Linked DNA regions of Callithrix jacchus. The main gene of each other region encodes a partner of the protein of the gene in region 2 in a complex. Links are inferred from orthologs where the notes say so. Each region holds a gene or a part of one and is shown on either strand. Other genes may lie near its edges. The genes, in order: CACNA1E, CACNA2D1 and CACNA1C.

Evidence for each region.
Region 1: the proteins of CACNA2D1 (region 2) and CACNA1E are in contact, whole or in part, in a cryo-EM structure (PDB 8EPM), measured with the Homo sapiens proteins. The link is inferred for Callithrix jacchus from reciprocal best matches to the Homo sapiens genes CACNA2D1 and CACNA1E. Residues at the interface, in NP_001353796.1 of Homo sapiens: Thr170, Asp171, Tyr173, Ile233, Leu235, Ser261, Gly262, Ser263, Ser265, Gly266, Leu267, Lys270, Ala327, Lys328, Gly329, Ile330, Thr331, Glu366, Gln391, Asn393, Tyr394, Ile416, Gly417; in NP_001192222.1 of Homo sapiens: Gln110, Leu112, Pro113, Glu114, Asp115, Asp116, Lys117, Pro119, Arg122, Asn630, Phe631, Asn632, Asp633, Gly634, Ile1330, Gly1331, Asn1332, Val1334, His1336, Met1341, Val1343, Arg1346, Arg1393, Ser1394.
Region 3: the proteins of CACNA2D1 (region 2) and CACNA1C are in contact, whole or in part, in a cryo-EM structure (PDB 8WEA), measured with the Homo sapiens proteins. The link is inferred for Callithrix jacchus from reciprocal best matches to the Homo sapiens genes CACNA2D1 and CACNA1C. Residues at the interface, in NP_001353796.1 of Homo sapiens: Thr170, Asp171, Tyr173, Ile233, Leu235, Gly262, Ser263, Ser265, Lys270, Thr274, Ala327, Lys328, Gly329, Ile330, Glu366, Gln391, His392, Tyr394, Ile416, Gly417; in NP_955630.3 of Homo sapiens: Phe147, Pro148, Glu149, Asp150, Asp151, Ser152, Asn153, Ala154, Asn678, Lys1090, Gly1091, Asn1092, Tyr1093, Ile1094, Tyr1096, Gly1099, Val1101, Pro1104, Ile1106, Arg1109, Tyr1156.

The regions. Positions count from the first base shown.
Region 1 is NC_133519.1:39,669,172-39,673,304, forward strand, and holds the start of CACNA1E (voltage-dependent R-type calcium channel subunit alpha-1E), read left to right. Parts: upstream 1-1,292; 5' UTR 1,293-1,484; coding exon 1,485-1,566; intron 1,567-4,133. UniProt on the Homo sapiens protein: Voltage-sensitive calcium channels (VSCC) mediate the entry of calcium ions into excitable cells.
Region 2 is NC_133512.1:67,910,678-67,914,323, forward strand, and holds part of CACNA2D1 (voltage-dependent calcium channel subunit alpha-2/delta-1), read left to right. Parts: intron 1-1,574; coding exon 1,575-1,630; intron 1,631-2,031; coding exon 2,032-2,161; intron 2,162-3,646. UniProt on the Homo sapiens protein: The alpha-2/delta subunit of voltage-dependent calcium channels regulates calcium current density and activation/inactivation kinetics of the calcium channel. Plays an important role in excitation-contraction coupling.
Region 3 is NC_133510.1:15,911,479-15,915,124, forward strand, and holds part of CACNA1C (voltage-dependent L-type calcium channel subunit alpha-1C), read left to right. Parts: coding exon 1-8; intron 9-1,570; coding exon 1,571-1,923; intron 1,924-3,646. UniProt on the Homo sapiens protein: Pore-forming, alpha-1C subunit of the voltage-gated calcium channel that gives rise to L-type calcium currents. Mediates influx of calcium ions into the cytoplasm, and thereby triggers calcium release from the sarcoplasm.

The DNA.
Region 1 (4,133 bases), on a different chromosome or scaffold from region 2:
CTGTAGAACCTGCTTCCACGAGCATAGGCTGAGTGACAACAATGGAGTCCAAGAGATGCAGTTGAAAGACCAAAGTGACAAGGCTTTAAAATAAAGTTTTATCAGGACAGTCATGCCCACTCATTACGTATTCTCTGGCTGCTTTCATGGTACCACAGCAGAGTTTGAGTAGTTGCAACAGAGACTGTATGGCATGCAAAGCTCAAAATATTTATGTTCTGGCCCTCTGCAACAGAGACTATGTGGCATGCAAAGCCTGAAATATTTATTTTCTGGCCCTTTGGAGAGTTTGCCAATCCTTGCTCTAGAGAGTTTTGTACTGGCATTTACATGCTAGTCTTAAGTAACTTATATCACTTCCACTCACAACTCACTGGCCAGAATGGTCACATGGCCCCACTTAACCATAGAGGGCCAGGAAATACATCCTACCATGTGCCCAAGAGGGGGATAATCAGAATATTTGACAAACAGCACTAATGGCCACCATAAGCACCTACTATGAGTTGAAATCAGTACCAGGTGCTAGGAATAGAAAGATGAACAAGACAAAATCTTTGATCTCAAGGAATTTAAGGAATGCCAGAATTTGGGGATTGGAGGGGGAAGGCTAAGTATAGATTCAAGTGTCCTTTCCTAGAAGATATAGACTGGCTTGTCTGAATTGCTTGAGATCTCAGCTTGGTGCTAGCCAGAACTGGGGACTGACCGGCTTGGCAAACAGTGGGGGCGACAGATCCTCCTGATGAACGTTTATATCAATAATAGAAGGCTTGTTTAACAGAAATTCTTAAAGGAAAGAGAAGATGATTTTATGTTTTGATATTCATAACACTGATTCTGTTAAAGCCAGAGCTCCACAGTGCATATTATTGCTGTTGTAATGTTGGCAAAGATGTGCTTCAAATTGGCAAAGTGTCTGAGAAGAGGAAATCATGTAAGGAGAGAGAGTGGGGTGGGTCAGGAAATGGAGGTGGGAGCCAGCTACTGGTGGCCTGGTGAGAGGTGGGAGGGCGGCCCTGTAGCCTTTGTCACAGAGAGACATGAGGGAGAGGAGGCTGCAGCCAGCAGAGCCTGAGAATTCTTGGAGTTGCTGGAGATGCTAAGGCCTGGAGAGGGAGTGGGAGCAGCACGGAAGGGGTGTGTGCGTGCATGTGGTGAGGGAGAGACATTTAAACATCGTAGGAATGAAGGATAAATTTAAAATCCCTCAAGGGGAGTTGAGACAGAATGACAACGTGAAGAACATGAATCACTCTTTCTAGGGACCCACCCTGCTGTTGGCATGATTTGGGATACATTTTCTCCTCCGTACCAAGCTCATTCTGGACCCTTTGTCTTCCTTCTTCCTGCTCCCTTGACCTGGCCTCGGTGGCCATGTACCTAGTGCTGGCTACCATGTCCTGGGAGCTTCAAGATCAAAAACATTGAGGCTGTAGGGTGTGGTGCCGGTAGGGTGAGGAAGACCAGTACAGACGTTAGAGATGGAGAAGGAGACAAAGAGAAGGTATCTTAGGGCTCTAGGGACACCCAGGGCTACTGAATGCTCCCATCAGGCTTTATCAGGTATGTGCTAAGATCATCCTCTCATCCAGCCTTTTTGTTTCTATTTGCTGTCTTAGCATAATGAGGAGGGGGGTGGGGGCTGGGAGAGGCATTTATGGATTCTGCTCCATGTGCTAGAGACATATGATTAATGTAGTGGAGAAAACCGTAAGCTAGGACTTGAAATCTGACTTCTCTCCCAGCTCTGCTTTTTATTGGCAGTGTGATCCTGGGCGGGGCTCTCTACCTTTCTGGATCTCAGCATCCATAAAATGATACGGTTAGAGCATTAAGATTTCTAACCATTGAAATAGTCTTTGTATTTGTGATTTGCAATTTGACTTGCAGTCCAGCCCAGGGAAGGGGTGGTGCCTGGAGGGTAGCGTCCGGGAGGATGCCACCCTGGGGGCCCTGCACAGCTCCCAACATGTAGTAGGGGCTCAACCATCCCACACTAGTTGAATGATCTGGAGGCCCGGGCTCCTCTGAGCACATAGAGCATGGCCTACTTCTTAGATGCCACTTTGTGGTCACTAAGACATGTGGTTGGGAGGAATTCCGGTTTGCGGCTCCTGGCTAGGAGGGAGACAATAAGCAGGTATCTTGAAAAGGTGGTAAGTTCAGGCTGTCTCAAGTCAGAAGGGCTGGTTCCCTGCCCCCGTCCCTGGACTCCATCCTTAGACTTACTATGGGGACTAGCGGTGTGTGGGTAACTTTTAAGTTTCTCATTAGGTTAAACCTTTGCTAATTGGAGCATGTCAAGGTCTGGTATGAGCCACCCACCTGGAATGCTGTGTTCACTTGGGCACGTCCATAAGGCGTGAAACAGGGAAACACCTCATTGGCTTTGGATTCAGCCTTTAGGGGTGTAGTAGTGGAGGAGCAGTGCACAAAGGAGGAGAGAGGAGTGACCAGCAGGGCAGGAGGAATCCTTGGTTTCCCTAAATCCTCCCTCACACACATGCTCTTCCTTTTTGCCCATACTCCTTTCCTGTTCCTCACCTGGCAAGCTCTGTTTAACCCAGCTCTAGGTCCTTTCCTTCACAAAGCCCTCCTGACCACCCCCAGCTGGGCTAGGTATCCCTCTTTTTTTTCTTTTTTGAGATCGAGTCTCATTCTGTCACCCAGGCTGGAGTGCAATGGTGTGATCTTGGCTCATTTCAACCTCTGTCCCCTGGGTTCAGGTGATTCTCCTGCCTTGCCTCCCGAGAGGCACACACCACCACACCTGGCTATTTTTTGTATTTTTTGTATTTCACCATATTGGCCAGGCTGGACTCGAACTCTTGACCTCAAGTGATCCACTTGCCTTGGCCTCCCAAAATGCTGGGATTACAGGCGTGAGCCACCGCGCCCAACCAGGTGCCCCTCACATGTGCTCCTCTAGCAATCAGGCCTGTGCCAATTACAGCACATCCTGTCATGGTCATAATCAGTGTTCTTCCTGTCTCTCCCATGAGGATGCTGTGGACTAAGTCCAGCTCCTGTTGTTGTGCCCACTGCATGGCACAGTGCCCAGCACATGGTAAGCCCTCAGTAAACACCGGTTCAATGTGTATGTCTTTCAGAGGCCAATGTGGCTGTATCCTCCTTGGCATGGAAAAGGAGAATGATGCCAAGGGGAGCAACAGGAGCACCTGAGTCACACGTGGCCCCCAGGTCCTGAGGCAGATACATGCATTAAAAAAGGAGGAAGGAGGCCGGGCACGGTGGCTCAAGCCTGTAATCCCAGCACTTTGGGAGGCTGAGGCGGGTGGATCACGAGGTCAAGAGATCGAGACCATCGTGGTCAACATGGTGAAACCCCGTCTCTACTAAAGATACAAAAATTAGCTGGGCATGGTGGCACGTGCCTGTAGTCCCAGCTACTCAGGAGGCTGAGGCGGGAGAATTGCTTGAACCCAGGAGGCGGAGGTTGCGGTGAGCCAAGATCGCGCCATTGCACTCCAGCCTGGGTAACAAGAGCAAAACTCCATCTCAAAAAACAAAAGGAGGAAGGAACCTGCAGACAGGACTCAGTTCTCAAGAAGAGCTCTCCGTAGGCTGGGCTCAGAGGCAATGCTTGTAATCCCAGTACTTTGGGTGGCTGAGTCAGGAGGATTGCTTGAGTCCAGGAGTTTGAGACCAGTCTAGGCAACATGGGGAGATGCCATCTCTACAAAAAATAAAAAAAAATATTGCTGGCTGTGGTGGCACGTGCCTGTGGTCCCAGCTACTTGGGAGGCTGAGAGAGGAGGATTGTCTGACCCTGGGAGGTTGATGCTGCAGTGAGCTATGATTGCGCCATTGAACTCCAGTCTGGGTGACAGATCGTACCTCAAAACGAATAAATAAAAAAACGCCCACCTTGAGGCTTGGTCCCCTGGGAGCACGTGCTTGGGAGGCAGGGCAGCAGGTGGTGGGTGGGAATTCCCTCAAAGGAGTTGGGCCCTGGGGAAAGGGTTAGAGGGATTCTTCCACCAAAAATGGGAGTGAACAGCCACCTAGCTATCTGAGGTGGGGCTGATATGCGCAGCCCTCAGGGTTCCCGTCTTTACTGTGGCCCCTGAAACCTTACCACTGGTGCATATCATTAGTTCTTTAACCTC
Region 2 (3,646 bases):
CTCAAATTTTTATTAAAGGAATTAAGATTTTTTCATTCTCTATAGCACTTACTGGTAATGTTTAAATTTTTTGCTAAGTGAACACTATGAAGTTACCATTCAGTTTCTCATATGAAAACAGTGTTATGCTGATGTAAACTTCAGCCCCTTTAGAGTCTGAAGTTTTTCTTCATGTTTGTTATTGCATTTTACATTTTAGTACTGGTCCCATTAAAACATACAGTTAAGGATTTTAGCATGTTATGACCTTTTTAACCTTTCTTTCTTCTATACATCAGTTGAAATTCTTTTCATTTTTTAAATATTTTTTAAATGCTATATTAATTTCTTTTAGGTGTATTGATCTGTAAGAGGTTACAATTTAATTGTCCTTAATATCCAAGTTGGATGTCTACATTCATCAAACTCATGACATAATGGCAACCTTCTACCTCTTTACTATTAATACAAGGACTGGCATAGTGTAGAGGCATCATGTTGCTAAAATGGATCTAATTCTTTCTTTTCATTGATTCTACCTTCCAAACCTCCCCTATCCCCCACCTATGTACCCTACAACCTATGAAAATAAGACATGTAAGTGGTTAATTGTGGCACTGTGGAAAGTCTGCAAAGTCACATTTCTCAATGTTTAGTTCTGGTCAGTCAGGTAATTAAACCACCTGTTATGTCAGGGATCCATGATCTCCCTTGTCCCTTTCTCCCTTCCGGTTTTTTTTTTTTTCGTATTATCATAGTACTGTATTGTTCAACCCTATTCCATGTAGATTAATCTACAACATTAATTTTATATTGAGGTTTATTTATATTTAGTGATTATATCATTAAAGTAGCAAAGACGATTTTAAAATTTTAGATTTTGAAAAGATTTAGAAAATTCTGATGTGATTTTATATACTAACTTTGGTAGGCTTTAAAATTTCATCATAACCCTGAAATACTTGCCTTTATATCGCCTCCCCCGCATTTTTACAACTAAATTCAGTTCTAGATATTTGGCTCAGTGGTCCATTACTATAAAACTCAAATATGCTGTATCTCTGTACATCATATGAATATTTTGTTCTATGAATGTCACATTACATCTTTACAAATATATTCTATATTACAAAGTAAATAGTTAACAAATTCAAACCCATGGTATAAACTGCATTGTTCCTTTGTTGGGGATGGGGGGAACCCAAAAAAACAAATGGTTTTAAAATCTAAAATAAGGAGAAGTAATGAATTTAAAAACCTATGCACTGAAGCACTGACCTTCTGCCTCTTAGAGTGGATACTTCTGGTTGATAAGATTGCCTGTTAGGCCTCTTCACACATTGTCTCTCACTGGGTCCTGAACAAGATCTGAACACTTCTGACTTAATTACTTCTTTTACACATTAAAGAAAGGTTACAATGTGTTATATAATTTAAAAAGTACTTAAAACACTCCTAAACTTTCTATGAACAAATTCTCAATCTCTCATTTTTTTCCCAAAAGGATAAAGGGAAACAGTATTTATGCGTATGTGTACATGCAAAAACACTTCGTTTCCTAGATTTTTATTATTTTATTTATTTGAAAAATTCAGGTCTATTCTACAGCAGTTTCTCTTGAGTTTGACCTTTCCACGACTCCTTGAGGCAGGTATGTAAATGCTCACACCTTGTCATAATAAAATTTTCTTTTTGGATGTGCTTGAGTTCAACAAATTCAGAGAATATATGTGTCAGAAAGAGAAAACAGATCACCAGTCTCATAATTTTAGAGCTAGAAACTTTTTGTCCAGCCTTTTCTAATGTTTTAGAAATCACATAGGTCACATTGGCCTTGAACTCATAGCTATCATGTATTTGAATTAATTTATTCTATTGATATTTATCAGGCCTCTACTAGGGACTGCCATGATCGTACACAGCAATAAACAAGCCGCTAGTCGAGGCATCCTGGTCTTATACATTTATTTTGCTCTGTAAGACATGAAGACTCCGGGTGACCGACTACAGTGGCCCTTCCTAATGATGTTCTTTGTTTTTACCCCTGACAAGTTGAGATGGAGGATGATGACTTTACGACCTCCCTGTCAAAGCAGAGCTGCATTACTGAACAAACCCAGTATTTCTTCGATAACGACAGTAAATCATTCAGTAGTGTATTAGACTGTGGAAACTGTTCCAGGTAACTTATTTATTTATTTCTAGAGTAGTCTGATTTCATTAAGAAATTGTATCATTACAGAAAATACTGAAAATTATGTTGAAGTCAGAGTTATGAGTAATTGTTTTAAGTTGATGTCAGAGATCTTCTCTTTAGGCTTTTAAAAATTATAGTTTTCTAAAATTCTAACTTTGATAAATTAGTTGTTATTTCTTCAATAATAATAATTAAATGATCAAGATAATTACTTTCCCTTTAGGCAGAACACAGATAAATTTCATTATATTAGAAATTTTTTAAATGGGTACTTTTAGAAAAAAATGTGAACATACAAATTTGCAAAATTAAATATATTGCTAATTCTAAATAATTCTAAGGCAAATATGATTACTTTTGCAATATTGTAACTAAACAGATTTACAAAAAAGTCTTGTTTTGTTTTCACTTCTAATCTTCTCTGACTTGAAGAACTGAATGTTAGCCTAATTTGAATTTGAAGGAACTGGGAATATATAGTTTTCTTAGATCATTGTTAATGTTAGTATCCATAAAACATCTTTTAAAATGTTGGGAAGAGATGGAGAATTTAATTTCATTGTAATGAGGATAGAGGAGAAAGGCAAAATGAAGATTTTGAGGGGAAAGTCATAAGTAATGCCACCGGATCCCTGGGAACAGAGCAGCAAGTCACAGCTTGCAAAGCATAGAATTGAGACGCTTTGTCTGTAGAGGTGGAGGGAAGGTTATTCTAGAAGAAATTTTACCACAGAGGAAGAAATACGAGGAGGTGAGGTAATCTGAGATTATGGAAGTGCCAGAATAGTTGAACAAAAAACCTTTTTTTTTCTTCAAGAGGGGCTAAACAATCATGAATTTTTAGTAGATGTGGTCAGTATGTTTTATGACTTTCTTTAGAAACTCTCTGTGTCCAAGGAGGAGGTAGAGTATATGAAGAGAAAAAGAAAGGGGAGGATGAACTCACAAAAAAAGTAGACTATCTTGTTTAAAGATGAGCATATCAGGCTATAGACTTCAGGAAATGGAACTGTGGCATGTTTATTGGATACATCAGAGTTTCCCAGAAATTGGTCTTTTATTAATGGACATCCAGCAAGAGCAATGTGTGCTTAAAGAACTAAGTTAAATTGTAAAGTAAAGGTCAATATAACCAAGACATTAAATTGAATCATACTTTCCTTTTAATTTGCTTTATGAAAATCAAAGCTTAACAGGGCAAAAACATAAAATCCCACTTCTTTAATCATAAAGAAAGTACTTTAGTGATATATTTACATTTTGTTACTAAAGTAGAATCAGCTTAAGGTGCGGACAAAACGGGATGGAATTCAAAACCCTTGATTCTGTTCTGGTCTGTGTTGTCCAGTGCAGTAGTTACCACACACAAGTGGCTATTGAAATTTCAACTCAAGTTAAATTAATTACAATTAAAATGTGCCTCAGTCACACTTGTCACACTTTAAGTGCCTAATACCCTCGAGTGGGTAT
Region 3 (3,646 bases), on a different chromosome or scaffold from region 2:
TCTTCAGGGTGGGTGGCACCATGGCGCACTCTCGACCTCTATAAAGTTCAGTTTGGAGCAAGAGGGTGGGCAGGGTTTTGCGGAGAACGTCCAGGGGAAAGAGCCGCACCAGAGGACAGGGCCACTTCCAGGCTCTTCCTGATCAGCTGTGTCCTCACCCCTTTGCCTTTTCCAAGCCTGACTCCGTCCCAAGGCAGGGCTCCCTGGAAACGGCATTTCACAGTGTCTCCCCAAGGGAAATGTTTCCTAGGAGAAGAGAAACTTCTATATCAGAAGTTATAAAGTGGTCACCCTGGGCATATCTAATCTGCAGGCTTGTTTGGTTTGCTACTATTTGAAAATCTGGCACATTCAGGTCAAAATCAAGACTCCTGGCATTCCTTGGAAAAGTCAGGAGACCTGCAATTTTGAGCTTGCATTCCGGCAGGGCAGCAGAGGGCTGGAGCCTAGTGGCAGCTGCCCCTTGAGATGGAGCATAGCATGTGTTCTGCAGATCTCCAAGCCCCTCCAGTCCTCCCCCTTCCCTCTCCCTTCCTGGAGACTGAAGCTGCCCAGCAGTTGCAATAGTGAAAATTAAACACAGCTGTACCGGAATAAGGGGCATTTATACCTCACATGTGTTACCTGCCTCACCCCGCTGGTATTTGGTTAAAACTCCTCCTATAGCAAGGGAGAAGTTGCCAGTCATAATCGTGCAGGGCCCTGTTCACACCTGCTCCCAGCCCAGGGCCCAGTTCCCAGGCTGTGGAACACACAGGAGGCAAGCCGAGCCCATCCTGCCCCTGCTCCTTCTCTTCCTTATCCTTATCCTCATCACCTGAGACATTCGTCACTAAGTAGCCTCAGGGACATGGCATGATTGTGACTCCACCTGACATGATCCCAGAAATCAAAGGCTCAGTCACCAAGGCCCAGGGATGTTCTGGTGTCAAAGTTTGCAACCTTGCAAATAGCTCCTTGCCCACTTCCCCAGGACAAGGAGAAGATACTCAGGGAAAACACTGGCTCTTGGCTTGAACTATCTGTGAATCCCTGAGGGGAAAAAGAGCATCATGCAGGAAATTCCTCATTTTCAAAACCGTTTGGCCGACACAGCTTTTAGCTCCGTGAGCACATCAGATTTATTGATTTTTAATCTGGTTAGAATCTTCTGGTCGTTTTCCCAGCCCCCACCCTCACGGTGTGCTGGCTGCTCTCAGGGACCGCTGTCCTAGATGTGCCCTGGAAACTCGCTCCCAGCCTTCAGGGACTTCACTGGAAACCTCCAGGGCAGCTTATACCAGCGGGAGCCTCTTGCACAGTCCCATCCCTACCAGTGTGTGGGTTCTCCCAGCTACCGCAGAGGGGAGCCCGGAGCCTTGAGACTGTGGGTCCCTCCCACTCTGGAGCAGCCAGGTATGAAGAAGGACCTCAGGTGCTCCTGGCTCCCAGCAGGGCTGTGCCTCCCCAAAGGAAGGCAGCCCGCCTTCCCGGGCCCTGCATTCCACTGGCCAGACTGTGGAAGCTGCTCTCTGGGAGGGGTGGACACTGAGGGGCTTCTCCTCCACCCACCTGTCCTTCTTGCCTACAGAGGGCCGGTGGCCTCTTCGGCAACCACGTCAGCTACTACCAAAGTGACGGCCGGAGCGCCTTCCCCCAGACCTTCACCACTCAGCGCCCGCTGCACATCAACAAGGCAGGCAGCAGCCAGGGTGACACAGAGTCGCCTTCCCACGAGAAGCTGGTGGATTCCACCTTCACTCCCAGCAGCTACTCGTCCACCGGCTCCAATGCCAACATCAACAATGCCAACAACACCGCCCTGGGCCGCCTCCCCCGCCCCACTGGCCACCCCAGCACGGTCAGCACTGTGGAGGGCCATGGGCCCCCCTTGTCCCCTGCCATCCGGGTGCAGGAGGTGGCCTGGAAGCTCAGCTCCCAGAGGTAAGCGGGAGGCTGGCCACCCTGCTGTATTTTCTCCTTGTCCTCTGATCCCCTGTGCTCTAGGATGCACTGCTCTGACATGCTGGGATGGTGGGACTTCCCTCCCACCCTGGGCCCCTGCAGAGCTCCTCCCTGTCAGCATCAGCAGCTCCAGCGTTCCCTGGTGGGGCTGAGAGAGGTGCCTAGTCCCGCTTAACTGTGCTGCTTTTCCAGAGTAGGACAGTGGCTCCCAGCCGGCGGCACAGCGCCCCAGCATGTCAGCCTCCTGACATGCCTGCCCTCCAGCTCAGAAAATAGTAAGAGAAGTGGAAGCTTCTCACCAAACCCCTGGAAAAGTGTCCATCCAAGAAGCAGGTACCTGCCGTGGGCCTGCCCATCCCCCCAGAGGGCCCATTTTCAAGTGGCTGCATGCAAGCCCCTAGGGCCAGGCATTTAATTGTGTCAGATGACAGGCAAGTTAGAAAGACCATCCCCCTGTCTGCTTTCCTTTCTGCAAGGTGGCTGGTTTAGCCACCCAGAGGCAGCACTGGGGCATCCCTCAGCTCACGAGGCCTGCACTGCTGCCTTCTGTGCTCAGGGCAGCTTGCTCAGCCCTGGATTTGATGTGCTGGCCTCAAGGGCTGGCTTTACATAGGAGAGGATCTAATCTAGGCATCTAGTCTTGGGGGCCTGCATTTGTTGTGGGGGCCTCACCCTTCTCTGCAACCTCACTCCCCTTCCCCCCACAGCCTTTGAGGACTCAGGTACTGGATCCCCACACCCCTTCTCCCCTGCTGGCCTCACCAAAGCCTCTGCTGAAGGAGGGCTCCATGTCCATCTTCAGCATCTCAGGGTGAATTCAATCCCTACCCTCTAAGGGCATTTTCCTGTGAGGCTTTGTTCTCTGTGACAAAAGGGGGAAGAGATGTTTAGAGGAGCTGGGGAGGAGACCCTGGGGAATTTCCTTGTCCCCACAGATACATCTCTCCATGAAGCAAAACACGCAAAGCACCCAGCACACAGTCAGTGCTCATGAAATGTTGGTTCCCTCTGCCCACTGCAGACAGTACAAACAACAGGGCACCAAGCTTCAGCTTGGTGAAGAAGAGGAGCATAACCCACATCCCAGCTCCCTTGTCCTCTCTGTCACAGCTCAAAGCTAAGGGCAGCTCAGGCCCTGGCGTTGCCTGTGCTAAGAATGGGCCAGCACGTCCTGTGCCCGGTGGCTCCCAGAAGTGCTGTTTCCTGCCTGCTCCGCTCTGCACCTCCAACTCCTCCCCCCACACCCTCGCCAAAGCTCGCTCCACTTCCCTCCCCTCCCAATCCTCCTGGAGCTCCCACCTGTAACCTTTCTTTCCCACTGCAGTGGGAGTGGCAATCTGCAGGCCTCCTTAAGAGAGAGAACTGCTCCTACCCTGCCAGTGATGCTCAGAGCCAGGGCACTGATCTAGCCCTCAGCTCTGAGAGGATGGACCAGGATCTTTCCCTGATGCTCTCGGGGATCCGAGGATAAAGTGGGCCCAGCATGCAAGGTCTACAGAAAGCAAGACAGAGGGAGGCACTGAGCTGAGCTAGACAGGAAAAGGAAGAGGCCTTGGTCCAGAGCTAAAGAAGGCATGGCCTGTGAGCATAAGACCCTGTCCCAGGAGGGAAAGGCACGTCCTAGTGTGTGAGGATCTGGAGCTCAGGAGGGATTCTGGCTCAGGAGGGACTCAGGCTCACTGCCTTCTGTTCAGGAGAGCAA